Macaca fascicularis: one gene and its partner. The protein of the gene in region 1 interacts with the protein of each later gene in a biochemical or structural test. Links are inferred from orthologs where the notes say so. Each region holds a gene or a part of one and is shown on either strand. Other genes may lie near its edges.

Region 1 (16,282 bases):
AGATATAGTACATATTTTATATATATCTATAAAGAGTAGTTTATTAAATGTTAACACTATCACAAGATCCCACAATAGTCTGTCTGCAAACTTAGGAGCAAGGAAAGCCAGTCTGACACCCAAAACTGAGAAACCTGGAGACCAATGTTTCAGGGTAGGAAGCATCCAGCAGGGGAGAAAGATGTAGGCCTGGGAGGCTAGACCAGTCTCTTCATTTCACGTTTTTTTGCCTGCTTTTTATTTGCTGACAGCTGATTAGATTGTGACCACCAGATTAAGGGTGGATCTGCCTTCCCCCGCCCACTGACTCAAATGTTAATCTCTTTTGGCAACACACTTACAGACACACCCAGGATTAATACTTTGTGTCCTTCAATCCAATCAAGTGGCACTTTGTATTAACTCTGTCACAAGTCTACCCTTTGTCAACTTGAATCCATATACATCTAATATCATACACAGTCTTCAAATAGAGTAATAAAGCCATACTTACACCTAATATAATACAATTATTCTTTGTACAACTGGAAACGCACCAATCCCCAAGCCAAATACTATGACATAAAGTTAACAATATTTAAATGTTGATAGGAAGTCAATAAATCTTACATCACATGATGAAGGAAAAGGAAATAAAGATATTTTGTTCGTACAAGTGCATATATGCACAAACATGTTTTTAGCAAAAGAAGGAAGAAATACTCATAAAAATTACAGTCCCCATTTCTGCTACTGGTCACATGGTCATAGCTGGTATTGATGACTGCCTTTTTCTACTACCCATTCTGTAGTCTCTTTGCATTCAGCAAGCACCTGAGCTGGTCGTGGTTTTATTCCTGGTGGAGTGACCCAATCCTTCATTCCTGAAGGGTCTGGGCCATTTTTAGTGCTGCCTAGATTGGGCTGTTACAGTTTCCTGTTGACCTTAATCACAGGGCATGGTAATACTAAGACATGCCTTAATGGATCTCCTGTATTCCGTGTATACTCTTCCTTACCTCTGTTGTGGAACAGTAGACTGATTTCTTCTTGCTAGTCTGGTACAGTCACCACAACCAACACTAACTCCCTTGATAGCCTGTTGACTTAAAGGTAAGAGGAGCCCAAAGTATCCAGGTGGCAATCTTAAGTTCCAGTTTAATGGAATCATTGTGTCTCCTGGTGCGAGCGTTCCTCCCTCTGGAACTAAGACCTCTAGGCCAGCAGAAGGTAATAATCGCAGGAAAAGGAAGCAAAAATTTTGCTAGTAGATCCCTAGGGGTGAAGGTGAGTGGTGCCAGTTCCACTTTACCTGCTGATTCCTGGACCCGTGAATCCTGGCTATTGGAGAAACAGCACCAATATTGGATGCTGATTCAGTGGATACGTAGCCTTCTGGAGAATTTTGCCCCAGACTTGCAAAGTATTGTCACCTTGTTGGCGTTGTAATTGTGACTTCAAAAGGCCATTCCACCATTCTGTAAATCCAGCTGCTTCAGGACAATGAGAAACATGGTAAGACCAGTGAATTCCATGAGCATGAGCCCACTGCCGCACTTAGCCATAGAGTGAGTGCCTTGGTCAGAGTCAATTCTGTGTGGAATACCATGATGGTGGATAAGGCATTCTGTGAGTCCATGGATAGTAGTCTTGGCAGAAGCATTGTGTGCAGCATCATAGGCAAACCCATATCTGGAGTAAGTGTCTGTTCCAGGGAGGATAAACCTCTTCCCTTTCCTTAATGGAAGAGGTCCAATACAATCAACTTGCCACCGGCTAGCTAGCTGATCACCCCGAGGAATGGCGTGCCATATCAAGGGCTCAGTGTTGGTCTCTTCTGCTGACAGATTGGGTACTCGGCAGCAACCATAACCACGTCAGCCTTGGTAAGTGGATGTCCATGTTGCTGTGCCCAGGCATCACCTCCAGCACTGCCACCATGGCTACTTTGTTCATGAGCCTATTGGGTGATGACAAGGGTGGCTGCGGATAGAGGCTGAGTGGTGTCCACAGAACGGATCATCCTATCGACTTGATTATTAATCTCCTCTGCTGAGGTCACCCGTTGGTGAGCAGTCACAGGGGATACAAATATCTTCACAGTTTCTGACCACTTAAAAAGGTCCATGCACATATTTCTTCCCCAAATTTCTTTGTTCACCAATTTTGTAATCATGCTTCTTCCAAGTCCCTGATCATCCAGCCAAACCATTGGCTACAGCCCATGAATCTATGTAATGACACATCTAACCATTTCTCCTTCTAAGCAAATCATACAACCTGGTGCCCTGCTCAAGATTCTGCCCACTGAGAAGATGTTCTTTCACTGCTGTTCTTCAGGGATGTCCTAGAAAGGGGCTGTAGTGCTGCTTCTGTGCACTTTGCAGTGGTGCCTGCATATGGTGCAGAACCATCTGTGAACCAGGCCTTAGTCATCTGTTCCACTGTCAGGTGATCATAGGGACTCCCCATGAGGCCATCTGTGCAGGCTAGGGAAGAGAATGCAGGGTGGCAGGAGTGGAGATATGGGCATTTGAGCCACTTCCACTTGTAAATTACTTGTGCCTTCAGCACCTGCTGGAACCCAACCACATATATACCACTTCCATTTGATGCATGACCCACTTTATGGCTAAATAGGTCAGAAAGCACCCAGTTCATGATAGTCAGCTCAGGTCACATGGTGACTTGATGACCCACAGTCAAATGTTCAGTTTCCACCAAAGCCCAGTTAACAGACCAAGAGCTGTCTCTCAAAAGGGAGTAGTTACCTGCAAAAGATGGCAGTGCCTTGTTCCAAAATCCTAGAGGCCTCCACTGTGATTCACCTATGGGGTCCTGCCAAAGGCTCTAAAAGCATCCCTCTCTGCCCCTCACACCTCAGGCACCATTGAATCTGCTGAGTCATATGGCCCATGTGGCAGAACAGCTTGCCCAGTAGCCTGAACCTGTTGCAGAGCCTTTTCCTGTTCTAGATTGCACTCAGAACTGGCAGCCTTTCAGTACACTCGATAAATGGACTGGAGTAACATACCCAAATGAGGAATGTGTTGCCTCCAAAATCCAAATAGGTCCACTAGACGTTGTGCTTGTTTCTTGGTTGTAGGAAGGGCCAATTGCAGCAACTAGTCTTTGCCTTCACTGGAATGTGTTGACAGGCCCCACATCACTGGACCCCTAGAAATTTTACTGAGGTAGAAGGTCCCCAGATTTAGTCGGATTTATTTCCCATCCTCTGGCACACAAATGTCTCACCAATGAGTTCAGTATTTTTGCTGCTACTTGCTCACTTGATCCAATCAGAATAATGTCATCAATATAATGGACCAGTGTGATATCTTGCAGCAGCAAAAACTGATCAAGGTCTCTCTGAATAAGATTATGACACAAAGCTGGAGAGTTGATATACCCCTGAGGTAAGACAGTGAAGGTATATTGTCGTCTTTGCCCACTGAAGGCAAATTGCTTCTGGTGGTTCTTGTGGACAGGAATGGAGAAAAAGGATTTGCCAAGTCAATGGCTGCACTCCAGGTACTAGGAGATGTGCCAATTTTATCAAGGAATGAAACCGCATCTGATACAGCAGCTGCAATTAGAGTTACCACTTGATTAAGCTTATGATAATCCACTGCCATTCTTCAAGATCCATCTGTCTTCTGCATAGGCCAAATGGGAGAATTGAATGGGGACGTGGTGGCAAGCACCACTTCTGCATCTTTCAAGTCCTTGATGGTGGCACTGATCTCCTCAGTACCTCCAGGGATGGATAGTTTTTGATTTACTATTTTTTAGGGGCAGCTCTAATGGCTTCCAACTGACCTTTCCCACCATAGTTGCCCTCACCCTACCAGTCAAGGAGCCAATGTAGTGGTTCTGCCAGCTACTAAGTATGTTGATGCCGATTATGCATTTTGGCACTGGCGAAATGACCACAGGATGAATCCAGGGACCACTGGAACCACTGTAAGTGAGACCTGAGATAAAACTCCATTAATTATCTGACCTCCATAAGCCCCTACTTTAACTGGAGGACCACAATGATGCTTTGGGTCCCCTGGAATCAATGCTCAGAACCAGTGTCCAGTAGTGCCTGAAATGTCTGATCATTTGCCTCTCCCTAGTGCACAGTTACCCTGGTAAAAGGCCAGAGATCTCCTTGGGGAAGGGTGGGAGAAAGATTCACTGCATAAATTGTTGGGAATGTAGTGGGGGTCATTCCTCAAGGGCATCAGGCCTCCCCTTCATTCAAGGGGTTCTTGATCTGTAAACTGGCTCAAGTCTAGAAATTCACTGAGGGGTCGTCATTCTGTTTTTATTATTCAATTTAGTCTTTTGTCCATTTGACCTAGAAGCTTTCTGGTTGTATAAATTAAGTAGGAATGCAGTAGGCTTCCTATCAGTTTCACCTCTAGGAACACTGTGATTAATTAGCCAATGCCAGAGCTCTATCCAAGTCAGACTCTTCTGATTGCCACTTTGCCTCTGCTGTCCATTATGGTAGCTATACCCACCTTGTCTTTGACAGTTGAGTGCCGCCACTTGGCCCCTGCCACCTGGGGATCCAATTATTTCCATTATGTTTAAATTTTGTAGTTGAGTGACTGCGGTTCCCACTGTTAGATCTGACATACAGAGTCGAGCAATTAGAGGGCTCTTCAAAGATACAGGTGCTGCCCTCACAAATCTATTTCTCAAGGCATTGGTCAAGGGTATATCTTCTGGACCCTCCCAGCTGGGATGACTAGCTCTAAAGTGACTGATTCACCCTACCATCCCAATCTCCTTGGTCTTTGGATCCCTTCCTGTACATTAACCAAGAGAGATCAGTCATTTCCAGCTCACTCACCGTATGCCATCTTTTAATCCTTATTTCAACCAAGCAAATAACCTATTAGAACCTTTTCTTAACTCCCTGAGCTGCAACCTTAAATGCAGAGTCCCTACTTAGTGGGCCCAAATCAAGAAATTCAGCCTGATCCAACTTTGTTCCTTCCACCATAATCTCATACCCTTAATATTCATCCCCATGCCTGTTCTCCAGATTTCTGTGTATATGAATTAGAGAACTCAAAACAGTTCTCTTTGAGTGTAGCGTACATCCTCATGGGTCACACTCCCAGCCTCACCTCTAGGGGCCCACCAGTACTTTAGTCTAGTTATAGGTCCAGAAACAAAGAGAGGTGTTTGGAGTGGCTCCTGAGAAGAATCAACATTGGCTTGCCTGACAAATGCCTCAGGGGAAGTCATCACTGTTGCCTCACATAGCACAGGCTTTATTTCCTCAAAGTTGGAAAGACTGATGGCAACATGGGTCAGGAAGTGGACGTTGCCACTACTGGGAATGGGGAAGCTGTTCTTTCTGGCAGAAAAGCTTCATCGGAGTTTACAGACTCAGTGTCCCCAGCTTCATCTGGGTCCTTCCACGCACCCCCATTCCAAGTTTCAGGGTCCCATTCTTTTCCAGTCAATGCCCTCACTTTAACAGTAGACACCTGGCAAGACTGTGCATGTATCTTTCATTGCAGGTCAGACACTCGCATGATAAGAGCTTATGTCTGTTTTTCCACAACTTCAGCTCTTTCTCTACAGGAGATAAGACTCTTATTCAGGGCAATCTTAGCAGTTTTGAGCCTCAGTATCTTCTTTTGAAGCTGAGAGACAGAATCCCTGAGTTCATCATTTTCTTTCATCACCTTGTCCACTGCACTTAGGAACCAGCTTCATTATGTTCCTTGGTTCTCCACATATGGTCCAAGGTATGTATAGAGTCACTAAACTCCTAGCTTCTCACAAGCTGTGAATCAGGAGTGTCAAATGCATTTATTTTGCATAACTCTGTAAACAGTTCACACCAGGGACTATCAGTGTTCTCTATACTATTAGAAATAGAGTTTTTAACATTTTTAGGTCTAATCACATTAAGCAGCCAACTCCAGAAACCCCAAAACCAATGAAAGAACTCCATCCTTAATATTCTGTTCCTCTGGACCCCACTCCTGGTACCAAAATCTGAATTAGGGTTCTCTAGAGGTACAGAGCTAATAGAATATATATATTTGTGTGTGTGTGTGTATATATGTATATATACACATATATGTATCCTATATACAATATTCATATATATAAACTAATAGGATGTATGTATTTTATATATTATGTATGTATTAAACTAATAGGGTATATACATAAAATATATACTACATATAAACTAATAGTATATATCTACTTTATATCCTACTACTTTATATATACAGTGTATCTTTTAATTATATATAAATATTAAATATATGTAAAATGCATACTTTATAGTAAATGTTTATATATATAAAGGGGACTTTATTAAGTATTAATTTACACAATCAGAAGGTCCCACACTACTGGGCATGGTAGCTCACGCCTGTAATCCCAGCACTATGGGAGGCTGAGGCAGGCAGATCACTTGAGGTCAGGAGTTTGAGATGAGGCTGGCCAACATCATGAAACCTCATCCCTGCCAAAAATACAAAAATGGCTGGGCATGGTGGCACAAGCCTGTAATCTCAGCTACTCGGAAGGCTGAGGCAGGAGAGCCCAGGAGGCGGAGGATTGCAATGAGCCGAGATCACGCCACTGCCCTCAAGCCTGGGCAACAGAGCCAGACTCTGTCTCAGAAAAAAAAAAAAAAAAAGAAAAAGCAAGATCCCACAATAGGTTGTCTGCAAGCTGAGGAGCAAGGAAAGCCAGTCCAAGTCCCAAAACTGAAGAACTTGGAGGCCAGTGTTCCAGGGCAGGAAGCATCCAGCACAGGAAAAAGATGTAGACTGGGAGGCTAAGGCTCAGCCAGTCTCTCCTTTTCACGTTTTTCTGCCTGCTTTATATTTTCTGGCAGCTGATTAGATTGCGCCCACCAAATGAAGGGTGGATCTGCCTTCCCCAGTTCACAGACTCTAATGTTAGTATCTTTTGGCAACATCCTCACAGACCCACCCAGGGTTAACACTTTGTGTCCTTCAATCAAGTTGACACTCAGTTTTAACCATCACACATATGTAGTAGTTTTGCAAAATGTGATAGCAAGGAAAAATATAGCTGTTTAAAGAAACAGTAATGCTGTCATTAGAAAATAAACTGATTGGAGTCTCTGGATCATAGTTTGGCTTCAACTCTCTCAAGTTTACAAGAGCATTATCTGGGAAAATTAGTCAACAAGTTTGGAAATGAGTTCTGGGAAACTTGGCTCACTATCGTCCAGGCACCAGGCCAAACTATGGCATGGGCCAGGTACTGAATAAATGGCAGGAGTATGGTCAGGGCAGTAGGTAGCTCTGAATTTTCTATTTTTGTTTCCTTGGTGTATGTCACAGCAGTTTTCTGTGGGGTGAAATGAGTATCCTGAACCAAGGAGCTAGGCATGGAGAAAATGAGAGGAACTTCATTAGTACATGGCAAGGATGACTTATTCTGGCTTTCTGTCCTGGTTGAAAAGATGAGACTGCAGAGCTTTTTATGAAGATACTCCCAATTTGTCTATCTTTTGAGTCACACTGCTCCATTATGGCCATTTACCTTTTACATGCGGTACACAACCAGTGTTCTAGGATTTTTGTTCATAGTTCTCCTGGTAAGGATCCTTTTATTTCTCCCTGTGCTGGACCTCCTGTTGCTTGTGTCTCATATTTTTCTCTTTATTTTCTCACATATTAGTGGCACATATTCTCCAGTGACTATTGAGAGAAGGTTTGTGGTAGTTAGAATTTTTTTTTAGTGCTTGCACATAAGAAAGTTTTTTTATCCACAGGCTGGTTGATAGCTTGGCTGAATACGAATAGGACCTCTAAGTTAGAAATATCTTTCCTTTCAAATCTTGAAAACATTGCTTCACTGACTTCAAATATTTAATGTTTTCCACCAAATTTACAATAGAATTATTTTATCTTGTAATTTTTTTTTTTTTTTTTTGTAGGTGTTACAGTTCGAGTGCCTCAAACAACCACGTATGTTGTAAACAATGGACTAACCCTGGGATCCACAGGACCTCAGCTCACAGTGCATCACCGACCACCACAAGTGCATACTGTAAGTGTTGATGCTTGGTTTTGTAAAATTCTCAACTGTAAAGGTATAAAATATTATTGTAGTTGGCATTTTTCTTTAAAGTGGTTATATCCAAGGGAATTGTTAGGTCTTTCTGCTTTTTCAGAAGTTTATTTCTAAAAATTGATCTTAAACCATTATGAACAAATGTTCATAGGGATGATGATCATTTAGAATCATTGAGTTTGCTTGTGGTGTACAGTATACAAAAACAGGTCCACAGTTGGGGTATATGAAGTGAAATACAGACCATTTCTAATTCATAGTTAAATTAAAAAGGACGTTTTTCCATGTGTTAATTTTATTCTTTTGTTTTAAACTATGCCACGTCTAACTGCTACATTGTCATCAATTGTTTTAAAGAATCCAATGATATTGGGAATTCATTAGTTAAGAGGCAGCAGAGATAACCAAAGATTTCTCCTTAGATTTAGCCTCCAAAACAATGTCACATTATCCTGTGACACAATTTTGTCAGTGTTTGACTGGTATGAAATATCATCATAATGACGATGATGTTCCAGTGTTAGAAAAGTCAATAGGACTCCTAAAGTTAGAGTCACGTTTTTTTCATCATCTGGCCTTAACCTACCTTTCCAGATTTTTCTTCATGTACCCTATATCCAAGAAAAAGTTAATACTTGTTGTCCATACGTCCCCTCACTTTCCTGTCCACATGCCTTTGCTCATGCTTTATTTTTGGCTAAAAGGTACATGATTATTTCTGCATCTCTAGATCCTATCTTTCACAGTTCAGTTTAAATATCACCTTTTTTTTGTAAATTGGCCAAGAATATAGTACACATTCAGTGTTAATACGCTTATTTATAAGAATATGCTGTTGTCTTATATTGCAAAATAACTTAAAAATGAAAGTATAGTTGTATTCTCCAATTTTATATGATCTTGATTGCCATACATGATATTTTAAAATGTTATACTGAAGTGATAATCTGTAACATAGATAATTCAATCATAAATTATTTTGTTAGAAGTAGATCATTATTTCCGTGTTCCTCAAAATGATGTTCCATCAGCAGGGGCTTTTTATTTCCTAAGAAAAACTCAAAATATTTTAGGTCTAGGAAATAGAGCAGGAATAACCTCAGCATCATTGTTTGTGGCATCATTCATTACAAAACCCCAAATAGAACTTGCCAAATTTGATATGGTGTTTGGTATTTCCTAGAATTCTTGATGTAAAATGGTATCTCTATGTATGTTCTCTAAGGTGTTTTAATCCTAACATTCTAAAATGTTCTTTTTGCGATCATTATAAATCAGTGTGACTTGTTTTTTTAGGAGCCGCCACGCCCTGTGCACCCAGCACCCTTACCAGAAGCTCCACAACCACAGCGTGTGCCCCCAGAAGCTGCCAGCACATCTCTGCCTCAGAAGCCACACTTGAAGTTAGCACGAGTTCAGAGTCAAAATGGCATAGTACTGTCATGGAGTGTCCTGGAGGTGGATCGAAGCTGTGCCACTGTTGATAGCTACCATCTCTATGCTTACCATGAGGAACCTAGTGCCACCGTGCCCTCACAATGGAAAAAGATAGGGGAAGTCAAGGCACTTCCCTTGCCCATGGCATGTACTCTCACCCAGTTTGTATCTGGTAGCAAATACTACTTTGCAGTACGAGCCAAGGATATTTATGGACGTTTTGGGCCTTTCTGTGATCCTCAGTCAACAGATGTGATCTCTTCCACCCAGAGCAGTTAAACCTTGGAGCCTTTATATTTTCCTCTTTTAAAATTTCCACCTTTTGGTCTTGTTTTTAATCTTGTGCATGATACCCCATGTAAAATCCACCTTGTGCAAGATTTCTTGGACAGATGTGTGTATACACTACATTTGTTTATAAACAGAAGCAAAATAAACTCAGCCCACAAAGCTAGAATCTTTTCCTGGACAGTTTAGGCTTTGGGGTTTGGAAATGTAAATGTGTACCTTGCTTTAGTTTTGAGGCTGGGGAATATGTGTGGGTGTTTATGTGTGTTTTTCCCTATGTATGTGTTACTGCATTGGAGTCTCCCATTTTTATTCTCAAATTTACCTCTTAAAGTACGAAGTAGTAGATCAAAGGATCTGAGATGTGTAACTGGCATGACTCTGCTTTTAAAGGATCTGTAGGATCATTTTAGTTAAATGGTTTAAACAGAATCAAAACAAAACCCAAAGAAATGAATTAAAAACAAAATGGCTAAATAGTTTAAAATAGGTTGATTTGAACACAGGAAAGGATCTATTTGTTGTTTCTTTTGTCTGGTCTCCTAAGTTGTTAATTAGGTTAAAAAAGATCTGCAATGGCCCCCTCCCTTTCCTGATCTGGCTTTTACATTTATTTTGTGCCTTAAAGATTAACTACAAAAATAAACATGGCCAAAAATAAATAAATAAACATGGCCATATGTCCATGGTTGCTTACTCTTCCCTTGCAGCCTTTTTACCCTTGATTTCTTGCACACCTCCTCAAGTAATTTTTTTTTTTTTTTTTTTTTTTTTAGATGGAGTTTCGCTCTTGTTGCCCAGGCTGGAGTGCAGTGGCACAGTCTCAGCTCACTGCAACCTCCGCCTCCTCGGTTCAAGCAATTCTCCTGTCTCAGCCCGAGAGTAGCTGGGATTACAGGTGCCCGTCACCATGCCCGGCTAATTTTTGTATTTATAGTAGAGATGGGGTTTCACCATGTTGGCCAGGCTGGTCTCAAACTCCTGACCTTAGGTGATCCACCTGCCTCGGCCTCCCAAAGTGCTGGGATTACTGTTGTGAGCCACCGTGCCCAGCCTACTCAAGTGATTTTTAAACCAAGGTGTGTGTGTGTACATGGAGGTATTTGTACACACACGCACACATGCGCATGCACAGTCTCATCTTAGCCGGGCATGGTGATGGCATCACATTTAACTCCAAAAATTTGACGTGCTATTTTCTTCTAAAACTGTAGATGCTTTTATTTTTGGTCACTATTTAACTTTGTGTAAAGTGGACCAAGCGAAAACCATATTGTGGAAGAAAATTTTTCACATGTTTTAGTATCCGTGTTGCACACTGTGTTAGAGATTATGAAAATGATTCTAGTTCAGTTTATCACCCAAAGCTATCACCCAATACTAATTCCTTAGTATTCTTTCAAATGAAGCAAATAGAAAGATTCACAATATAGAATGAGCTAAAATATCAAGGAGAAAGTTTCATTTCCTCTTTATTCTCACAGCGTCCTTCCTGTTTTAACCTTTTAACTTTGTTTTGATGGTGCCAAGTTGAGTCTGATGTACCCATTGTTAGCTTTGGATAGAATTTAAAGTATATCCCAAAATTAGCCGGGCATGTTGGTGCATGCCTGTAACCCCAGCTGCTCAGGAGGCAAGGAGAATCGCTTGAACCCGGGAGGCGGAGGTTGCAATGAGCTGAGATTGCACCGTTGCACTTCAGCCTGGGAGACAAGAGCGAAACTCTGTCTCAAAAAAAAAGAATTTAAAGTATATTCTTTGAGGTCATTTTATGTAACAATTAGATATAACCTCCTGTGTATCTCTCTGTTCCTCTTCAAAGTTATTAAAATTCAGCTTAGGTCATGGATTTTTAATATGAGGGGCAGCTGTACTGGTTTCAGGTAGGTGTTTTGAGTGTAGATAGTTTAGGACTGGAGGGCTGGGTTAAGTTTTAGGAGTGAGAATGTACTTGAGAATATTTTGAAAGGAATTTATGAAGTTTGTGAAATAACTTACAAGTCCTCTTCCTTTGCAATATTTGAATTCCATTTTTCTACCTTCTCAAAATAGTCATTCATTTTTCCTAGAATTGCAGGAGGGAGCTCTCTCTTTTATTAATGTTGTTTGTTTGCAACTTTGATGGCTTATAACAGGAAGTTTTCTAGTTGTAAAGAAAACTCTTTAGAGACTTTTGACTGGTCAGTATACTATCATCTGAGGTGTAAGATTTGATTCATGATGAAGAAAGCCTATAGATTGCCAAAAAATTAATGCTCCAAATCTCCTTTCACTCTCAGAAAATGAGACCACAAAGGAGTATGCTATAAATCAAATTTGCCAACCAACTATGTAGATATTACTCATTCTAGGACTAATGATGATGGTAAAGAAGTTGCCATTGTTATGGCAACGAAAATTTTAAAAGGAAGGAGTCGGTGATCTTCTAGATGTATATGAACACCTGTCTATATCTGCATGTGTATGTTTTGACCTGCAGTGGTTGCAGTGTTGATTATGTGTTCAAGATTATTCCTGTCTACAAAATTGAAGGCCCTTGTTCAAATTGTTCTTTATTGGGTGTTTTTATGGTCACGTGGTTACAATTTTCTTACATAACCTACAAAAGGTTCTCTTGATGAACATTTTTATTTATATTTACTAATTTTTTTAAAAAAGCTTTCATAGCATTATTTAATCAAATGAAGAAAGCCCAGTAGAATTTAAAAAAAAAAATCATTATCCTAGCCTATATTATGGTTTCTGTCAAAGGAAAACAAATTCTCAAATAGCAGTTCTAAAAATAGATTTACCAAAGTAAAATAATTACTTAAAATGTTTTATTCCAGTTGGAAGGAAGGTACAGGGAGAGATCGCAATTATTTAGGGGAGAAGTATATTTATTATAAGATAGTATACTCAAATTAGCCTACCATGGCATGTAGGGGCAGCAGCTATATTAGATTTACTAGAGGTGCTAGGTTAGAACACTAGGTTTTTATTGAGGCAGGTTTTAATATTGATAGATGCTTTTTGTTTGGTTTGCTGCTTCTGGGAGAGAGAATGGAGGACTTAAGTAGTAAGTAGCTACTGATAACAGACTTTCTAGTAGCAGTTTCCACTCCGCGGTTAACTTTTTAGTTTCATAGTATCTTTTCACAAAGTATTACAAATAAGCTAGATTCTCCCATTTTGGGAATGCAAGTTTTACTACATTTTTAGCCTGGCAATATTTGTGTAGGTATTGCCTTATTGGAAATTCTGGAAACCTGATACTGCAACCTGCAATGTAGGATGTTTGTATGGCATTTAAAGATAACGGTGATGTTTATTATTCTATACTTTGCATTCTGTGAGAGTAATTTTCACTGTCTTAAATGTGAGTAAGCCTCTTGTTCTTGTCAAGAAATTTATAAATCACATACAAAGACATCTGTTGTTAACAGTTAATTTTATGAGGTAACTATATCCTTCTATTTCTCTGGATTCATTTTTTAAAAATATGCAGAATACTGCATACTGTTTAAGATAGTATATACATTTATGAGAGAAGTGGAGAGCTTTCTTCCTTGAAAAGTCGGTATTTGTGGAGATATCATTTGCCTCACAGAGAGATGTTCCCCACTCCCATCCCCATTGCCAGATAATAAATACTTTGAAAAAGTGACCTAAAACAGCTTAAATCTTAGGTGCATCTATCTGCAGACCTCCTTAAGTAGGCTGCGTCTTACAGTTCTCTTACTGCATTGGGTAAGTGTTAACTTTGTTGTTTGTTCTTTTGCTTTAAATATTCTCCAAATTACCATTTATGCAACAAGGTCAGGGTTAATACTGCATGGTATTCATTTATCTTGTTTCATGAACTTTCCAGTACTGTACAAGGTTAACAAAGTAATGCCTGTGGTATCCTCATCTCTCACTTTTTTACACTGTGATCTTAGCACAGTAAGGTACTGCAAAGACCTTCCTTCCAAATGTTCTCCCTGACTTTGCTTCTTGGGCCAATTCAGTATCCTCAACATCCTATGATTTTGTTGTTTTATCACTGACCTGTGGTTGGCCTGTTTTATCCTAATTTCCAGAAAAATCAAGTCCTAGTATTTGCAATATCAAATAACTGTCTAAAACCAATGTGTGATTCTACCTTCCTTATTATTTTTACTGGGCAAATGCCCTATTTTTTTTTTTTTTTTTTTAACTTTTGGGACACACAAATCAGCAATTCTCATGAAGCGTTTGTTGGAGTGGCAGACTTGTCTAATTCCTGAAACTCATTCATCCCCTTGAGCCAGCCAATGGGGAGGAATAGGATAATGCAAACACATGTTTTGTTTTCTCATTTTCAAATAATTTACCATGTTAAAATAAACTTTTCTTTGTTTTTTATTTGTAGAGTCAGCTAAGTACCCATATTTAAATGCTGTCTTTATCATTTTTTTGAGGTTTTTGTTTTTGTCTGTTTCTTTGTTTTGTTTTTGTAAATAAGGTAACTGGGCAATCAAACACCTTTTGGGGATTCTGGCTTTAGTATTTTATCAGCCATTTCAAAATTAAATATAAAAATCCTTTGTAAGTAACTTGCATCCTAATTTTTCTTTATTGCAGTTGAAAGTGTAAATAATAAGACAATATAAGTAAGACCTTCCTAATGTCTAATACAAACTGGGCTGTAGCAAGTGGCCCTATTTTTATTAGGGTTTTGAAGGTTTGTGTGTGTGTGTGTGTGTGTGTGTGTGTGTGCGCGCGCGCGTGTGTTTTTCTTTTTTAAATGTATAGTAGAGTGGTGTCTGTATAAGTGTTAACTGTAGTGGGGTTTTGTCCAGCAAGCCTGAAATTTATACTTTGAAATAAAACTACTGGGTTTTTAACATTCTGAGTACTCTGTTTAATTCTGGTTATTCACCCTTGTGGCTTTTTTCTTTCTTTTTTAAGAATCTTCCGCCTTGTTTAAAGTCACCCATTACATACTATGTGGTGTGGCTTATTTAACCTACTTCGCAATTCCATGGCACTCAGATCACATGTAACTCTCCAACTTTGAAAGAAAGTTGCTATGCAGGGTTGCTGCCAGCTTGTATAGGTGCTTTTGGCTTATAGGAGGCAACAGTAAGGTTTACTATATTGTATGCCTAACCTACACCACAAAAGGACTCAACTGATGCCTGTTAATGACCTGAAAAATCACTACAATCACTAACTACTACTAGAGGTTCCTTTGAAAACGAAGCTCCAGCGTCCCCTAGGGTTTTGTCATTAGGCATATTCATCCAGGGAAACAGGAAAGAGCATAGGAGGAGTACAGATTCTTATGGGCCGGGCATTTGTCTCAGGTTCCAGTGGCTAGAATTGTCATGTGGCACAACTATCTGAGGGACACTGGGAGATGTGGTCTGTGTGAGCAGGCATGAAAGGAGAATATGAATTCTGCTGAATGAAGGAGCAGTTTCTGCCATACCCTCTTGTGTATTAGCATGTATACTGAAGCTTAGTGTTATTTATATATATAACATTTCTTCTACAGTGCTCTACCTTATAGCAAGTGCTTGCTGTAAAAACAACAAAGTCAGTGGAAAACGAAAGTGACAAATGAATTTAATATATTTTATTGCATAATTCTGATGGGAAAAACATAGCTAAAATAGTGCCTTTGGTTTCTTATTTACAGCCTTCTAGTCTGTCATCTCCCTCCTTCATTTCATGTCACGTTTCAAAATTGGTTTCATGGTAATAAAATCAAAGTTGTAGACCTCTGGCATGCCCTGATGTAGAGTTTTGTTGAAACGGTTCCAGTGAAAAACAGGGAGGCCACCTTGTACTGTGGGGCCACTTATGGCATAGGATGTGTACTGAGATGCTAGGTAGATATCTGCCACCTGGAAAGAGAGAGGAGGAGGACATTTTAGAAAAATCATTTGGCAAAAAATTAAACCCATGACCTTTCCCACTCCCCCAACTACCAAAGTCATAATATGAGCTTTTTTTTTTTTTGAGACGGAGTTTCGCTCTTGTTGCCCAGGCAGGAGTGCAGTGGCACAATGTCGGCTCACTGCAACCTCTGCCTCCCAGGTTCAGCAGAGATGGGGTTTTGCCTTGTTGGTCAAGCTGGTCTCGAACTCCTGATCTCAGGTGATCCACCTGCCTCAGCCTCCCAAAGTGCTGGGATTACAGGCATGAGCCACTGCGCCAGGCTGCCTTCTTTAAAACAAAATTTTCTTGCCATTTTTCACACTGTCTTTGTATGATGTAGTCTTCTGTATACATTTGGCATCAAATGTCAATCAACTAGAAGTGTGTGAAATGAACAATGTAGCCAAAAGCAAGCTATGAAGTCAGATTACTCATTCAGAATTCTAGCTCCAAAGCTCATTTAAAGATCACTTAACCCCTCTATGAGTCAGTGTTCTCCTTTGTAAAAAGGGCTGATAACCCTACTTCATAGAGTTGGCATGAGGATTAATGCAAGCAATGCTCAAAGCAATGCCTAGAATAGATGAAGTCCTCAGAAAAAGTTGTTATTAAT
Region 2 (16,282 bases), on another chromosome or scaffold:
CCCTTATCACCATTATTCATCCCTCCAACCCGGCCTCCCTGCAGGTGCCAGCTGACGAGGTATGCGGGTGCCCCCTTGTACGTGATGTCTTTGAGCTCACGGGTGACTTCTGCCGCCTGCCCAAACGCCAGTGCAATCGCCATTACTGCTGGGAGAAGCTGCGGCGTGCGGAAGTGGACTTGGAGCGCGTGCGTGTGGTAGGTTTCGCTGTGGTTTCATGGTGCATGTGGTAGGTTTCCATGCCGGACGTGGCCGAGGGCAGGCGGGGCTTCAGTTGTTCCTGCTTAGGACTCCTGCCGCTCTCTTGGCAGTGGTACAAGCTGGACGAGCTGTTTGAGCAGGAGCGCAATGTGCGCACAGCCATGACAAACCGCGCGGGATTGCTGGCCTTGATGCTGCACCAGACAATCCAGCACGATCCCCTCACTACCGACCTGCGCTCCAGTGCCGACCGCTGAGCCTTCTGGCCCGGACCCCTCACACCCTGCATTCCAGATGGGGGAGCTGCCCGGTGCCCATGTGTCCGTTCCTCCACTCATCTGTTTCTCTGGTTCTCCCTGTGCCCATCCACCGGTTGACCGCCCGTCTGCCTTTATCAGAGGGTCTGTCCCCGTCGACATGTTCAGTGCCTGGTGGGGCTGCGGAGTCCACTCATCCTTGCCTCCTCTCCCTGGGTTTTGTTAATAAAATTTTGAAGAAACCAAGGAAGCTGTGTCCACATTGCTGCGGTTGCAACTGTTCCAGACTCCTGGATAAGATGGGGGGCGCCTGCACCCCGGGAGGGCCCAGGGACCCACATTCCCAGCCTCCCACAGGCAGAGGGTCTACGCAGCACGTATTCAGTGTGGTGACACCGCCCACGCGTGCTCCTGTCTCCCACCCAGAGCTGTCCTCCACTGTGGACGCCAGGCCCCGCCTTTTCCCAACAAGCCCCACGTTGGGGATTCGCCTCCTGCAGGGGCGCGCCCTCCCGCGTGCCTCAGTTTACCTGCGGTGCGTCACCGCCCCTTTCCCCGCCCCGCGCGCTCCAGCACCTGTTCGGCGGGGAGGAGGGAGCGGGACACGACCGCCCTGGGGTTGATGTTCGGAGGGACCGGCGAGCACAGGATAGACCCCAGCGAGAGATGGGAGAAGAGAGCGCCGGCTGGGTCAGGGAGTGCGCAGGCGCGAAGCAGCTTCCTCGCCGCTGTGGGTATCCGCCTCGGAGACCGCGGGAGGGAAGGGAGGGCGCAGGCGCAAGCCCTCCCCGACGACTTCCCTTCAGTTTGAGACTGGAGAGCGCATGCGCAAGCTAGATGGTCAGCGAGCACAGCCCCGACTGCAGGTCCCTCCTTCGATGGGGCACGAGCTGTCGTTGAACGTCAGCACGCAGATGCAACTGGTTTTCGGCCGGGGGGCGCGCGCCCCGCTGCAGAGCGCCAGCCCGCAGGCGCGGGAGCCTCCCTATTAAGGGCACGCGACGTCGAGGCAATAGCGCGCAGGTGCTTAGCCAGAGGCGGAGCCCGAGAGGAAGGCAGCGGACTTCCGGTTCCGGGAGCAACGAACAGCCGCGGAGGCGACAGCTACCGCTTCAGAGGAGGCGGCCGCGGAGGAGGAAGAAGGGGAGGAGGGCGAGGCGGGAGGCGCAGGAGGGACCCTAGCCATGGGTCCACGGGCCTAGAGTGGCGGAAGATACCAGCCTGGTGCCAAACTGGTGAGACAGCCTTGGGGCTGGACGTGGAGAGTGCTCAGGCGGAGGATAGGAAGGAATTGTGGCTGAGAACGCTGACGGGGAGGAATCAAGGGCCCTCAGGCCGATGAGGGGGAGGAATGGCGGCGTCGGAATACTGACGAGGAGAAACAGGGGAATTTAGGCTGAGGACAGGAAGGAATGGAGCTCAGAACTCTGACAGGTAGGAGTGTCGGGATCCTGGGACGAGGACGGAGAGGAATGGTGGAGATCAGAACGCTAAAGGGAGACATCAGGGCATCTGAAGTTGAGAGAGAAATGGGGGTTCAGAACTCCGAGCGGGAGAAATGAGGGGCCCTCAGGCTGATGACAGGAGAAATGGAGGCGTTGGAATGCTGAAAGGGAGGAATGGGAGGCCCCATATAGAGGACGAGGAGCAGTAGGGGATCAGAACGCTGACAGTTAGGGATGGCATGATCCCAGGACAAGAACAGAGAATGGGGGAGGGTTCGGAATGCTGAGGGGAGAAATTAGGGTCTCTCAGGATAAGGGAGGAATGGAGAATGAGAACAGTGAGAGGGAGAAGTGGGGAACTTTTTGGATGTAGAGGAGAGAAACAGGAAGGTTTGGGGGCTGAGACTGGGGAGAAATTGTGGGCCAGAACATTGAAGGAGAAGAAAAGTAAGGGGGGAGCTCTTGGCTGAGGAAGGGGAGGCATGGGAGGCTTCCAGTGTGTGAGAAATGGAAAAGATGAGGGGCTGTTCGGGTCATGGGTTGGAGCAGTTGTGTCTCGCAGAGGAAGTCGAGGTTGTAACACTGAGGTAGCAAGATAAGAGGACATCAGGCAGAGACGGAATGGAATGGTTAAAACACTGAAGGAAGGAAATTAGGAACTCCTGGGTCGGGGAAGGGGGGAATGAGAGACTACTGAAGCCAAGTAGTGAGGGCAAGAGAAATGGGGCCCTTTGGGGCTGAGGATGGGAAGTATGGGGGTCTTGTGGTGATAAAATAGAGGGATAGAGGCCCTTAGGTCAGTGACAGGGAGGAATGAGGGGGGAAGATGAAAAGTTTCTGAATTGGCAGTGAGGAGAAATGATGGGCTGTCAGTCTGAGGATAGAGAGGAGTAGGGGATTAGGACACTAAGAATAATAAACAGGGATCCTTGGGTTGAGGAATGAGGATCTCCTAGGCCCAGAATAGGAAAGAATGGGGTGAGAATATGAGGGGTTTCTTCTCCATATATGGGCTGGTTGCCTGCGGCAGGTCCTAGGTCTTGGGCAAGCACTAATGGATACCAGTGATTTGTGTGGCCTGGGGCACATTTTGTCCCTTCCTAGAGCCTCAGTTTCCCTCATCCCCTCAACCCCCTTTCAGGCTACTGCTGCTTTCTGTGGCCTCCATGGCTGAGGACTGGCTGGACTGCCCGGCCCTGGGCCCTGGCTGGAAGCGCCGTGAAGTCTTTCGCAAGTCAGGGGCCACCTGTGGACGCTCAGACACCTATTACCAGAGGTACTGGGTGGGTTGTGGGCAGAGTGGGGGTGGGGTAGAGCCTCATTAGGGTAAAATCAAATAGTGCGGTTAAATTTATGGATGGAGTTTAAATTATGCACAAACAGTTAATCGTTATTAGCGGATTTTGTGTTTGCAATTTCACCTACTTAATACAGTATTTGTAACTTAAAAGTCACTACTCACAGTGCATTTGTGATTATTGAAGGACATGCACAGAGCAGTGAAAAACTGTCACTCAATGCATGTGTTTCTAGCTGAGACTGAAGGAGCCCTTTTTATTTCAGCTTTAATACCGTAAACAAGTGACCTTTTCGTGGTCTGTTTAGTGTCACATTTTTCTAATTTTTGTATGTTTTGTTGGTGATTTTGCTTTTTAAAATAGTCCTCAAGCGTAGTGCTGAGGTGCTGTTTAGTGTTCTGAGTGTGAGAAGGCCATGTCGTGCCTTACGGAGAAAATACAAGGCAGATAAACCTTGTTGGTTATCTGAGTTACAATGCTGTTGGCTGTAAGTTCAATGTTATGCATCAGAATTATGGTACAACCAGAAAAAGAAGGAAATTTGCCAATATGTGCACAAGGCTGCTTCAGAAAATACAGAAAGCATTTATAGTCTTGAAGCTATGGAAGAGATGAGAAAGCAGCTACGTTGGTGGATTCATGAAATGACGATCAATAAAGCATAGTGGACAGCATTGTTGAGGAAAGCCAAAGTCACGTTACCCTGGGTTAGGAAAATATTAAGGTTGTATCAGCTAGTGCTGGCTGACTTGCACATTTCAAAAGGCAACATGGCATGAAAAATGTTAAACTTGCATGCAATGCAGGTTCTCCCGATCAGGAGTCTTCCGAAGAGTTTTAAAAATACCTTTTAAGTGTTTTATAGGAAAGGGGTTGTGTAGAAGAGTGGTTTTCAATGCCAATGGGATTGGCTTGTTAAACAAAAATATTGGCAAACAAACCTACAGAACACATATGGCCTCCAAAGCCCCTGGTTTGAGTCATTCAAAGACCATGCAAATAATCATTTGTAAAAAATATATATTAAGTAATGTGTATTTAAACAGAAACACGCACAAAACAGAAATTCAGATGCTCTCAGGAACCTAACCCTGTATTTCCTCTAGGAGCAATGGTTTTGTATTCAATGTTCATGGCAACTTTGTAGAACATATCTACCATAACTAATGAGAATCAGCATAGATGTTTATAAGCATTTACATGTGTTTAGGCTACATTAATTATTATGTTTCTATATTCGTTCTGATTTTTTAAATCTAAGTTGCAGTTTTCCAGGTAAATATCAAATTACAAATTACTTTTTGTTTGTATTTAGTTATAATTTATTCACATATTTATGTACTCGTATAAAACTTTCAAAACTTAAAAGTGCAGTTGTCAGGAACTACAAAGGATCTGAGATTTCATTCTTAGGACAAGATAATAGTGAATTTGTCAGAATTTTGTAGATGTTGGTAGGAGAGGTAAGACTCCTGGGTTACAGGTCAAAGACAGTTTATTATAACAGTTGCAGGATCCAGAATAAGTCTCCCCCTTATCTGCAATTTCATTTTCCACAGCTTTAGTTACCTACAGTCAACCACCATCCAAAAATATTAAATGGAAAATTTTAGAAATAAACAATTCATTAGTTTTGAATTGTGTGCCGTTTTGAGTGGCGTGATGAAATCTCACACCATCCTGCTCAGTCCTGCTCAGGAGGTGAATCATCTCTTTGTCCATATCCATATCCATATCCATATCCATGTTCTATACATAACCTGCCTGTTAGTCGCTTAGTAACCATCTCAGTTATCAGGTAGAAAAAAACACAGTACATATTACATTAGGGTTTGGTACTATCCACGGTTTCAGGCATCCACTGGGGAACTTGGGATGTATACCCTGACGAGAGGGGGAATTACTGTATTACTATTTTTGTGCCAGTTTCCTGAATCCCAATTCCTACAGCATGACATGAAGAGGGTTGTATTATTATAGGAAAAGAACCCTGAGCTTAGAGAATCAAGTTTTTTTAATAACGTTAGGACACTAAGTATGCTTTCTTTTTACTATGGAAGGAGACCCTATCTCTTATCTTCCAAGGTTGTTTGCTTTACAAACATCCTTGGAAAGATAGTGTATCAAAAAGAATAATCGGTGTCTCTCTTGCAGGGCGTACAGAAATGCAAGAAACCGGGGGTCCCAAAATCAATTACTTATACTTTAATTTGTGTGTAGTTGTATTTGTTTGTGTGTTTTTAAAACATATTTGTGTTGTTTTCTTTGCTTGATTATATACTGGGTACATAATGCTAACTTATTTATTTATTTATTTATATTTTGAGACAGAGTCTCGCTCTGTCGCCCAGGCTGGAGTACAGTGGTGCAATCTCGGCTCACTGCAAACTCCGCCTCCCGGGTTCAAGCCATTCTCCTGCCTCAGCCTCCCGAGTAGCTGGGACTACAGGCACTCGCCGCCATGCGTGGCTAATTTTTTTTTGTATTTTTAGTAGAGATGGGGTTTCACCATGTTAGCCAGGATGTTCTTGATCTCCTGACCTCGTGATCCGCCCGCCTTGGCCTCCCAAGGTGCTGGGATTACAAGTGTGAGCCATCGCACCTGGCCAGTGCTAACATATTTATATGTTATTTAATATATTTGTGTTTCTATTTGTGTCTATTTTTACTTACGTGAAATAGTTGCAGTATTACTAGTATTATATGTCATAAATATATGTCTGTTTACATTTGTATTGTTTCTGATGTTTGTATTTGTGTTGGTATTTATATTAATTTTTTATGTTTTCAAGGTTAGTTGAGGTGGGGCTGGGCAGGGCTCACAGGCCAATTCCAGGCTGCCTCCTGTATCCTGCCAGCCCTGTCGGAAGGTTGTGTGGGTGAAATGACATTGGCTCCACCTGGGTGCTAACCCATCATGGCCCATCCCTAGCCCCACAGGAGACAGGATCCGAAGCAAAGTTGAGCTGACTCGATACCTGGGCCCTGCGTGTGATCTCACCCTCTTCGACTTCAAACAAGGCATCTTGTGCTATCCAGCCCCCAAGGTACTTCACAATGTGAGATGCCTAGGTAGGGGTGGCTGTGCCACTCAGCACCCACCCACTGACCCATATGCCTCCTTCCCTTACTTTCCAGGCCCATCCTGTGGCTGTTGCCAGCAAGAAGCGAAAGAAGCCTTCAAAGCCAGCCAAGACTCGGAAACGTCAGGTTGGACCCCAGAGTGGTGAGGTCAGGAAGGAGGCCCCAAGGGACGAGACCAAGGCTGACACTGACACAGCCCCAGCTTCATTCCCTGCTCCTGGGTGAGTGTTGGTTTGAGGTGAGCCAGATGGGTGAGGGTTGTGATTGGGGGTGCTCTTGGAGCCCCTCACCTGCCTTTCCCATCCCAGATGCTGTGAGAACTGTGGAATCAGCTTCTCAGGGGATGGCACCCAAAGGCAGCGGCTCAAAACATTGTGCAAAGACTGTCGAGGTGAGTGACCCCCAGAGGATGGGGCATCGGGAGATAGGAGCTGGAGCAGGTTCAGTGTCATGCTAGGCTGGGGGTTGAATGTAGATGTCAGGACAGAGGCTACTGGCATGGTTGGAGGTTGGATACTGGAGATAGCAGGCATGGGTAGAGGTTGAATAGTGGAAGTCAGGGCACAGGCAGTGAGTGAATCAGTCAGATGTCTGTTGCTTTCTTTCCACTTTTCTTCTTCTCTCTTCCTCCCCACAGCACAGAGAATTGCCTTCAACCGAGAACAGAGAATGTTTAAGGTAAGCACAACCTGCTTTCTCTTCACACCTCTGCAGTGGGAGCAGGATGTGATTGAGCTGGTAGAGTCCTAAGGGATGATGATAGGTCCACAGGATGAAGTCATTTTATAGGGTGCTCTCCATAGGTCAGCAAACACAGTAATGAGAATCAATGGGTTAATTAATTCCCGTTACCATTAGTGCGTCAGTAGACACAGTGATGAAGTTAGCAAGGGACCAGTAGACATACTAATGGCCTCAGTGATGAGGCTTATGGGCGACTAGAAGTCCCGGTGATGGGAGCTGATGTAGGGTCAGTAGACATGGGAGGACCAGTGCTTCTGGAGCAGGCCCGTGATCTCGTCCCTACCATTCCTGGCAGCGTGTGGGCTGTGGGGAGTGTGCAGCCTGCCAGGTAACAGAAGACTGTGGGGCCTGCTCCACGTGCCTCCTGCAGCTGCCCCATGATGTGGCATCGGGGCTGTTCTGCAAGTGTGAACGGAGACGCTGCCTCCGGATTGTGGAAAGGGTGAGTTGGGCAAGTGGAAAGAGCCCAAGGCTCACCTCGGCCCCTGGCCCTCGTGGGCTTGGCCCCATGCTTCATGCCTCTGCTCCCACATCCCCTCCAACAGAGCCGAGGGTGTGGAGTATGCCGGGGCTGTCAGACCCAAGAGGACTGTGGCCGTTGTCCCATCTGCCTTCGCCCTCCCCGCCCTGGTCTCAGGCGCCAGTGGAAATGTGTCCAGCGACGTTGCCTACGGGTGAGTCGGGCTGGAGGGAGCAGAGCTCACTCTGCTGTTAAAATCGTGGCTGCCTCTGCTTCCTTTCAACCTGGCCTTGCCTACCTTATGTCTTTCTTTTCTGCCTAACCCCACGCTCACCTTTCTGGCCCCGTCTGCCTGCCCCTGTCTGCCAGCACCTTGCTCACCGCCTGCGTCGCCGTCATCAGAGATGTCAGCGACGCACTCCCCTGGCTGTGGCTCCCCCAACTGTGAGTGCCTCATGCCACCCTCTGTCTGCCTGTCCCATGCATGCTTTCTGCACTTAGGGAGTGGGGAGTTCCTGTGTCTGCCTGGTGCCACCAAGCTGAAACCACCCTTTCTGGTCTTTCCCAGGGTAAACATGCCCGCCGCAAGGGAGGCTGTGACTCCAAGATGGCTGCCAGGAGGCGCCCCGGAGCCCAGCCACTGCCTCCACCTTCCCCATCACAGTCCCCAGAGCCCACAGAGCCGGTGAGGCCCCAGTGGGTGGAGGGAAGGCACAACCCTGACCTTACCCAGTACCTGCCCTGACCCCACCCCATTTGCCTCTACAGCACCCCAGAGCCCTGGCCCCCTCGCCACCTGCCGAATTCATCTATTACTGTGTAGACGAGGACGAGCTAGTGAGTGGCCCTACCCTACCTGGATAAGCCTAGACTCTCAGGACGCTTGGTTAACTTCAAAGAAGCAGATGCTGGAATGAGCCTATTGGGGAACAGCAAGGCACAATAATGGGTCCTAGGATGGGATGAGTAGATAATGGAGGACTAATACAGGGTCAGCAGGTGCAATGACAGTGCCTCATGTCACATGTATCAACACTCTGGTGGCTGATGCAGGACTAATCGACACAGTGATGGGATTGACAGAGGAGCAGCTAGCACAATGACTGGGGTTCACACAGGATGAGCAGACAGAGTAGGCACAGTGATGGGAGCTAATAGAGAGTTATCAAAATGTTGCTGGAAATGGGGGTTAGAGACATTTTCTTGGTAGCCAGTGGTGGCCTAGGAAATACAGCACTGGATATTGTAGTGGAGCAGCCACAGTCCTAATGGTATCGAGGGCCAGCTGGCACAGCGATAGTGGCCAATGTTGAACTAGCAAGTGCTGAGGAGTGACTAGCTGGGAGTCAGGAGGCTGAGACTAGTATGCAAGTAGCTCCTTCTTATGGGGCTAGAGGAGCACCAGGACCAGCACTGGAATAGGCGTTGAGGATGGCCTCTCCTAGTCCTAGTTGACAGCACCACCCATTCCCCCCACCCCAGCAGCCCTACACGAACCGCCGGCAGAACCGCAAGTGCGGGGCCTGTGCAGCCTGCCTACGGCGGATGGACTGTGGCCGCTGCGACTTCTGCTGCGACAAGCCCAAATTCGGGGGCAGCAACCAGAAGCGCCAGAAGTGTCGTTGGCGCCAATGCCTGCAGTTTGCCATGGTGGGTGGGGCAGGAAGGGTCAGGTGGCCGGGATAGGTTGGGCCAGGCGCCCCAGTGCCTGGGAGTGGTGGGCAGGCTTGGTAGGTGGGTGGGTGGCGCAGTAGCTTTGGTTGAGGATTAACAGACATTGTGCTTGGCTTAATGAGTCTAGGTGGCATTGGTGTTGCTAATAGGAGACTAGCAGGCTCAATGACGAAGGGCTCATACGTAAGCAGATTCCATGCTGGGACCGATGGGAGATTAGCAGGCATGTGGAGCCGGGCAGGGTGGATGTGACTGGTCAGGACACCAGGTAGCCATAGCACCCTATCTTTCCTCATAGAAGCGGCTGCTGCCCAGTGTCTGGTCAGAGTCTGAGGATGGGGCAGGATCGCCCCCACCTTACCATCGTCGAAAGAGGCCCAGCTCTGCCCGACGTCACCATCTTGGGCCTACCTTGAAGCCCACCTTGGCTACACGCACAGCCCAACCAGACCATACCCAGGCTCCAACGAAGCAGGAAGCAGGTGGTGGCTTTGTGCTGCCTCCGCCTGGCACTGACCTTGTGTTTTTACGGGAGGGCGCAAGCAGTCCTGTGCAGGTGCCAGGCCCTGTTGCAGCTTCCACAGAAGCCCTGTTGCAGGTGAGGGCCCCACCCTGTCCTTCCCTTCCCAGCCCCACCCAGCCTCATGCCAGGGAGCTGAGACCAAGTCTGCTGCAATCCTCCCTCACGCAGGAGGCCCAGTGCTCTGGCCTGAGTTGGGTTGTGGCCTTACCCCAGGTGAAGCAAGAGAAGGCGGATACCCAGGACGAGTGGACACCAGGCACAGCTGTCCTGACTTCTCCCGTATTGGTGCCTGGCTGCCCTAGCAAGGTGGGGGCAGTGATGGATGTTCTGTTGATGCCGTAGCAGGCTGGTCTGTAAGCAGAGTGATGATGAGCCATGATGGTTCTCTTAAGCAGAGCAATAGATGTGCTGATTGCAACCTTTCTGCAGAATTACCCCGCCTGTCTAACAGACACCCTACCTCCCGCAGGCAATTAGCTTTGCCCGCTTTGCTGTCCAGCTAACAGAAAAACGGAGGTCAGTGAGGAATGGGAATGGGAAAGGTTTATAGGCAGAGATGGCCTTTCTGTGTTGAAATGTGATGGAAGGTAGGATTTGTCAGCACAGCGAGGGGTTGGCTGATAGAGACTTTCCTCGGGCTAACTCTGCCCTTCTAATGGCTGCCTGTTTCCTACTTCTCCCAGGCAGTAGACCCAGGCCTGCCATCTGTGAAGCAAGAGCCACCTGACCCTGAGGAGGACAAGGAGGAGAACAAGGATGACTCTGCCTCCAAATTGGCCCCAGAAGAAGAGGCAGGAGGGGCTGGCACACCCGTGGTCAGTGCTGGGGATGCCCCACCCTGCCCTGACCCTGCCATAGCCCCAACAACCACATTGACCTATGGTGTTAATTCTTCTCTAGATCACGGAGATTTTCAGCCTGGGTGGAACCCGCTTCAGAGATACAGCGGTCTGGTTGCCAAGGTGTGCCCCACACAGTGAGGGGTGGGGAAGGAGGGGGTGTTGGCCAGATGTGGGCCCTGAGTTTTGAAAGTATAGCCAGCAGTTTGGCATGGTGTGGTGGGAGGTAAAGGCCCATACCCACTATGCTGATCACAATTAATGAGGGGCATGTGTGTAGGACCATAGAGATTTCTCCGGAGATCCAGCCCAATAGCATTCCAGGTTAGGACTCTCCTTTGGGGGTAGGGGGAAGACTTGACACTCTATCATGAAATTTGAAAGAAAAAGATAGGGAGTCTGGTCCCTATTTTGCTAAGAAATATCTATAAGGGTCAGCTTTAATATATAAATTCTTGTTCAGAGAATAATCATTTGGAGTCTTGAAGGCCTTTGGAGTCTCCAGGAGACTTCTGGGTGGGCTGTTGCCTGACATTGAGCAATGTATATCAGAGAAATGGTGCTGGGCTTGCCTGGGCAGTGGGATGGGCAGGAGATCTGGGTTCCGAGCTGGCTTTGTGAGCCGGGTTCACACGTAGTTGCGTGATCTCTGGTTGCCCTGTACTTCCTGGAGCTGCCTCTGTGGAGGGGCTTGGGCTGGATCTCTTGAGCCTTTCCTGAGCCTATTGAGGTTATTAACTTCAGATGCCATGCAGAACTGTCCCTATAGTCCTGGCATAGGACAAAGGGTAGATGCCTGTAAGGACTAGAATGGTTGGGAGGGCAGGGGAACGCTGACTCCTATAGAATGTTGACAGACCCTGCATAGAGCCCCAGACACTGGCAATGTAAACTATTGGCCAAGCACGTGGATTCCTTTGCTCCTACAAACTAGCCCACCAGGCTGGAAACCCTTTCATCTATGCTTGGCCAATTACAGAAGTCTTGATTGAGTTCCTGCTGGGTGCACAGCATTGAGGACAATGAGCCCTGCAAAGCTTATATCCTGTGTCAGGAGACACAGGATACCTACCTTCAGGGAGCTTATTATCTGACTATGGACAAGCTGTCTATAATGGTAGTTTTTAGAAGATATAAAAAAAGATAAAGGTATAATTAAGGGGAAGTGGATGGAGGACACAGAATACTAGGAAATGGTTTTGTAATGCTCCATTTCGCATATAGCAAACCTCATTCAACATACAGACCTGCTCCCTCTTCCCTAGGTCCAAAGACCTTAAAAAACCTGGAGCTAGAAAGCAGTAGACTGGAGGCTTCTACAGACTGTAGGATTCAAGGTGATATTTGCAGACTGGCTTTATGAGAGACAACACTGATCTACTAGGGGCTGGACCCTAGATTGGTTGCCAGGGCTTGTGTGTGAATCAACCCTAGGAGGAAAAACCTACCACGAAACCAGAGGAGCAGGCCTAACAGTACTTTGAGCTTCTAGAAGAAGTAAGCGGGAAAGGAAGAGAAAGAGTAGAAAGTTGGTGCATCTTCTCCTCCCCAAGAGCCTGAGTATAAGAAGTTGGATTTTAAGGGTGGGGGAGCTGGGATGGGGAAAGGTAATATAATTAAAACCACCACAAAACAACCTAAACAAGCCATGTTCATGAATAATTGTAAGTGGCTTCTGGATGAGACCTGGCAGTGTCTCTACATACTTCCTCAGGGAGACAGCAATTGAAAATGTAATTGAATAAATAAGGAAAGGAACTGCTATTTGGTGTGTTCCTCTGTGGACCCAGTTTATTTAATCCTTAGAATAATCTTTTTGGGAAGACATTGATTTTGCCCATTTTTGTGAATGGGAAAACTGAGACTCATTAATTTGTCCAATGTCGAACAGCTGGTGTTAGTAGAGCCTAGAATGAAACCCAGCTTTTAAAGCCCTTGTTCTTTAAGCCACTAAACTGTAACCTGTAATCCTGTATGCACTAATAGGAGTTTTTGGTGACCTTCAAAACACAGATTACTATAAGTACTATAATAAATCCCTTACATTCCTGTCTCTAGCATGGTTTAGAAAGTGCCAAGACTCGATGTAGATGGGGTCACCTTGTCAGAACATCTGTTCATACAGAAACTGGGTTTCCTGCAGACCCCAGGTGCTGCATAGGATTCCTCAAACCCTACAGGATATATCTCCCCACTGGCTGCTGTCCATTTTGCTTGTTACCCTGACTCCCCCTCTTCAGCTAGAGCAGTCTTTGTAACTAAAGCTGCCAGCCTGGCTCATCTTTCCTGACAACGTGCATCTCCTGCCCTCTGATGACCTTTGTGCTTGGCTCCTGCCCTCAGCCCAAATGTCTTCTAGGAGGCTGAATTCCTGCTTCGAGTCCTGCCCAAGGGCCAGTCTTGGCTCAGCCCTACCTCACTCTTTCCAATTCTTCATTCATAAAGTGCCAAAAAGATTAGACCTGTAATTTGTTAGCCAGCTTTACAGGGCCAGGACTGAGTGAGTGCCTCCTTAAACTTTGTATCCTACGTGCCTCCCTTGCCTTACCCTAGTCCCAGCCCTGCAGCTTTAAGTAATTCAGACATGGATGAGCCATTTCCCAGTTCTATCATACAGTCCAGCCTCTGCCACCTTCGCCACCCCTTCCTTTATTCCACCCTAACTAGTTCAGCCCTAGTCAAGACTGGATAGACTGATACTGCTTTGTTTCCCCCAGGAACCAACCACCCAACCCCAGTATTCTGGTAATTTTGACAATGAACTATATGAAATTTATTTGATTGACATTTAGACTCATGAGTTAAGCTTCTGCCTACCATGTATGTTAGGGTACAATCAGAAGAGCAGAACCACTAAGATAAAGATTATGTATATATGTACTTTAAGGGATTTATTATAGAGATCTGACCGCATGCCATTGTGGGAGCTGGTTAAACAGTCTCTGTAAGGCTGTTATCTTTGCATCTAATGCTGGAGCTTGAAGTCTGCAGGGCAGGCACTCGGGAAGGGAAGATGGATGTAAACTGTGGGAGACCGAGGACACAGTGGAGCCCACGAGCACGAGCTGGAACCCACGAGGATGGCCTGGAACCCATGTCAGTCTCTCACCACCTCCAGCTTCGATGATGTGGGTGTCCTGCAGAAGAAGCTGGTGCCCTTCCTCACAGAGTTAAATATGCATCTGGCCCAGGAATTAGAGAAGCTGAAGAGATGATCCTGGGGAAGGTGGAGCAGCTGCAGGCCTGGCTGCTGCCCACACCAACGAGGTGATCCAGCAGATACATGACAATGTGTGAACTGCAACAGCGCCTGGTGCCCCAGCACCAGCCTTCCAAGTGTAAAAACAATATGCTGCTGCTTCACTTCTGCCCTCCAGTTATCAAGCAAAATGTCTCTTGTGGCCCATCTTACTGGAAGAGAGTTCTGGGAAACAGCCTCACCAAGGTGACACATTACAAAGCCGCCCTACCATGAATCCGCTCCCAAGGGTCTCACTACTCACCTGAGGATAACTCAATATAACCATGTTGCTGAAAATGCAAAGCTGAAGACCATGAATTTCATGGTGATTCCAGCAAGTGCAGAGATTCTATGAAGCCCACCCAGAAAAAACTTGCTGGTCCTGGCTATTTTTGTGTCATTCAAGTATTGAGAACCAGGCCTGTGGTAGGCACTGTACTTAATACTAGGATACAGAAATGCAAAAGATACGGCCCATGCAATTTTATTAAATGCATCAATATGTATTACAAATGGTGAATGGATTTCCAACTTTATCATGGAATTTAATGCTGAATATATAGAATTCAGAAAATTATTGGGAGGACAGCCCTTTTGTGAACCTTGTTTGGGGCACAGTAGGAATTGGAAATAATTTAGTTTCTATCTCTAAGCTGTTCTATTTTAAAATTATTTTTAAATTTTTATTGTCCCACTTACATGCTCAGTGTTTCTTTTGGGAGTGGTTTGGTGGGAACAGTGTTGACTGCCTCTGAGAAACTGGGATAGTGGGTGGGAAGATCAAGGTCACTTCTTTCCAAGGACCCTGAGATTCACTTCCCTAGGCCGCCGGAGCGCGGGGGGTTCACTGAAGGCTGAGGCTCTCGGTGCTCAGCACTGGCCGGACACCGTCAACCTGCTGGTGGGCCCGCCAGGGGGCGCCGAGGCGAGAAAGCCCGTAGTTCCCGGTCGGGGAACCACTGGGACCCTGGAGGCACCGCCCGTCACCCATCACCAGTGGCCTGGCCGCCCTGGGGCGTGGCATCCGCCCGGCGCAAACCCCAGTACCTGGGCTAGGGCCAGAGGGAAGCTGAGTGCCCCTCTTCAAATAGTGGTAAAACAGGCAAAACCGACCCAGGGTTAAATTTCGGAGCTCGCCCAGGGTGAGGGCGGGGCTCGACGACCTAGGACGTTCGAGTGCAGCCGGGTGTCGCCAAGGGTCGGTTTACCCCATCGCCTCAGAAATTGTGACCAGGCCTTTTGGGCTGCACAACCTTGGGAATCCCCAGCGGGCGGCCCCGAATCGCCGCCGATTTTCCCAAGCCCTGCTCCGGGCCCAACGCGTTTTCGTTGCCGCCTTCCCGGAGGTGTGGTGGGGGAGGTTCCGCCCAGACCAATGGGCGGTCCCGGGGCCCGTTGAACTCGAAGATCAAAGAACCGCCCCTCTGGACACTCCAGGAAACCGAGACGACCACCTAATTTGTTTCTTTTCTGTTCCAGGCCACGTAAACTCTTAGTAAATGCAAATGAGTGTTTTACTGAACTGCAATTGAACACAAAATGACAGAATTATTAAAAGATGATTAAAAGAGAAGAAAGACATTTCGTGGCTGAAAAGCTGAACCAGCAATTCAGGAAATGGAATTCATATTTAGAAACGTACCATATACAAAAGCCGAAGTGGGTGGTTTGCATATGATTAAGGAATGCTAATTTGCAGTAAATTGTGTCCTTAAGGAGGGTATACACATTAGTTGTACTTATTATACGTCAGTTTGACGTAGGTACTGATTTGTTGCATGTGCTCAAGTGTTCTATGCTCACCCCCACTTTGGGAGTACCAGAGTGTCATTCTTAATTGGCTTTTAGGTATCACCACCTTACTCTTGACTGGAAATGCAACTGTGGTTACTACCTGTGCTGCAGGTCCGTCCTGGTTCCCTGATTTGTGTTTCCTGTTCTGCCTGGATCCTGATTCTCAGAAACCAGTTACTGGACTTCTGATCCACATCCTGATCCTTCCACTGTGACCCTCAGACTCTTAATTATGCCCCACCAGGTCGTGCCACTGCCCCATTAGTCCATCTGATCTGTCCCCATCCTAGGATATCCTGAGTCTAAGCCCTGGTTTCTGCCGATGGCAAACAGGAAGATTTTATTATTAACAGCCTTTATTATTATTATTATTACTGGTTATTTGGTTTGACAAGGCACTTAGGCTCCCTGAGCTTTGCCTTAGCTGGAAAATAAGGATAGTAATGCTTCCTGTTCTATCAACCGTATAAGATATTTGTGGCCATGCGCGGTAGCGCAGCCTGTAATTCCACTTTGGGAGGCCAACGGGAGGGGCAGGGGGTAGGATCGCTTGAACCCAGGAGCAGGAGTTCCAGCCTGAGCAACATAGCGGGACCCCCTATCTCTTCAAAATTTGTTTTTAAATTAGCAGGGCGTGGTGGCGCAGGCTTTGTAGTCCCAGCTACTCTGGAGGCCGAGGCCCAGGAGGACGAGGTTGCAGGGAGCCCTGATCACGCCACTGC

What was found.
Region 2: the proteins of ATF7IP (region 1) and methyl-CpG-binding domain protein 1 form a complex in vitro, tested with the Homo sapiens proteins (2 studies listed by BioGRID). The link is inferred for Macaca fascicularis from reciprocal best matches to the Homo sapiens genes ATF7IP and MBD1.

Annotation. Positions count from the first base shown.
Region 1 is NC_088385.1:17,276,026-17,292,307, forward strand, and holds the end of ATF7IP (activating transcription factor 7-interacting protein 1), read left to right. Parts: intron 1-7,921; coding exon 7,922-8,034; intron 8,035-9,354; coding exon 9,355-9,774; 3' UTR 9,775-14,635; downstream 14,636-16,282. Other genes in the region: PLBD1 (phospholipase B-like 1), read right to left, coding at 15,453-15,635. UniProt on the Homo sapiens protein: Recruiter that couples transcriptional factors to general transcription apparatus and thereby modulates transcription regulation and chromatin formation. Can both act as an activator or a repressor depending on the context.
Region 2 is NC_088392.1:39,460,907-39,477,188, forward strand, and holds methyl-CpG-binding domain protein 1, read left to right. Parts: upstream 1-1,572; 5' UTR 1,573-1,693; intron 1,694-3,044; 5' UTR 3,045-3,069; coding exon 3,070-3,179; intron 3,180-6,133; coding exon 6,134-6,248; intron 6,249-6,339; coding exon 6,340-6,506; intron 6,507-6,593; coding exon 6,594-6,676; intron 6,677-6,922; coding exon 6,923-6,963; intron 6,964-7,324; coding exon 7,325-7,471; intron 7,472-7,574; coding exon 7,575-7,703; intron 7,704-7,858; coding exon 7,859-7,933; intron 7,934-8,057; coding exon 8,058-8,174; intron 8,175-8,257; coding exon 8,258-8,326; intron 8,327-8,971; coding exon 8,972-9,139; intron 9,140-9,461; coding exon 9,462-9,761; intron 9,762-9,854; coding exon 9,855-9,992; intron 9,993-10,369; coding exon 10,370-10,501; intron 10,502-10,586; coding exon 10,587-10,648; intron 10,649-11,790; coding exon of another isoform or gene 11,791-11,830; exon of another isoform or gene 11,831-13,509; coding exon 13,510-13,699; 3' UTR 13,700-14,464; downstream 14,465-16,282. Other genes in the region: CXXC1 (CXXC-type zinc finger protein 1), read left to right, coding at 45-197, 312-458. UniProt on the Homo sapiens protein: Transcriptional repressor that binds CpG islands in promoters where the DNA is methylated at position 5 of cytosine within CpG dinucleotides. Binding is abolished by the presence of 7-mG that is produced by DNA damage by methylmethanesulfonate (MMS).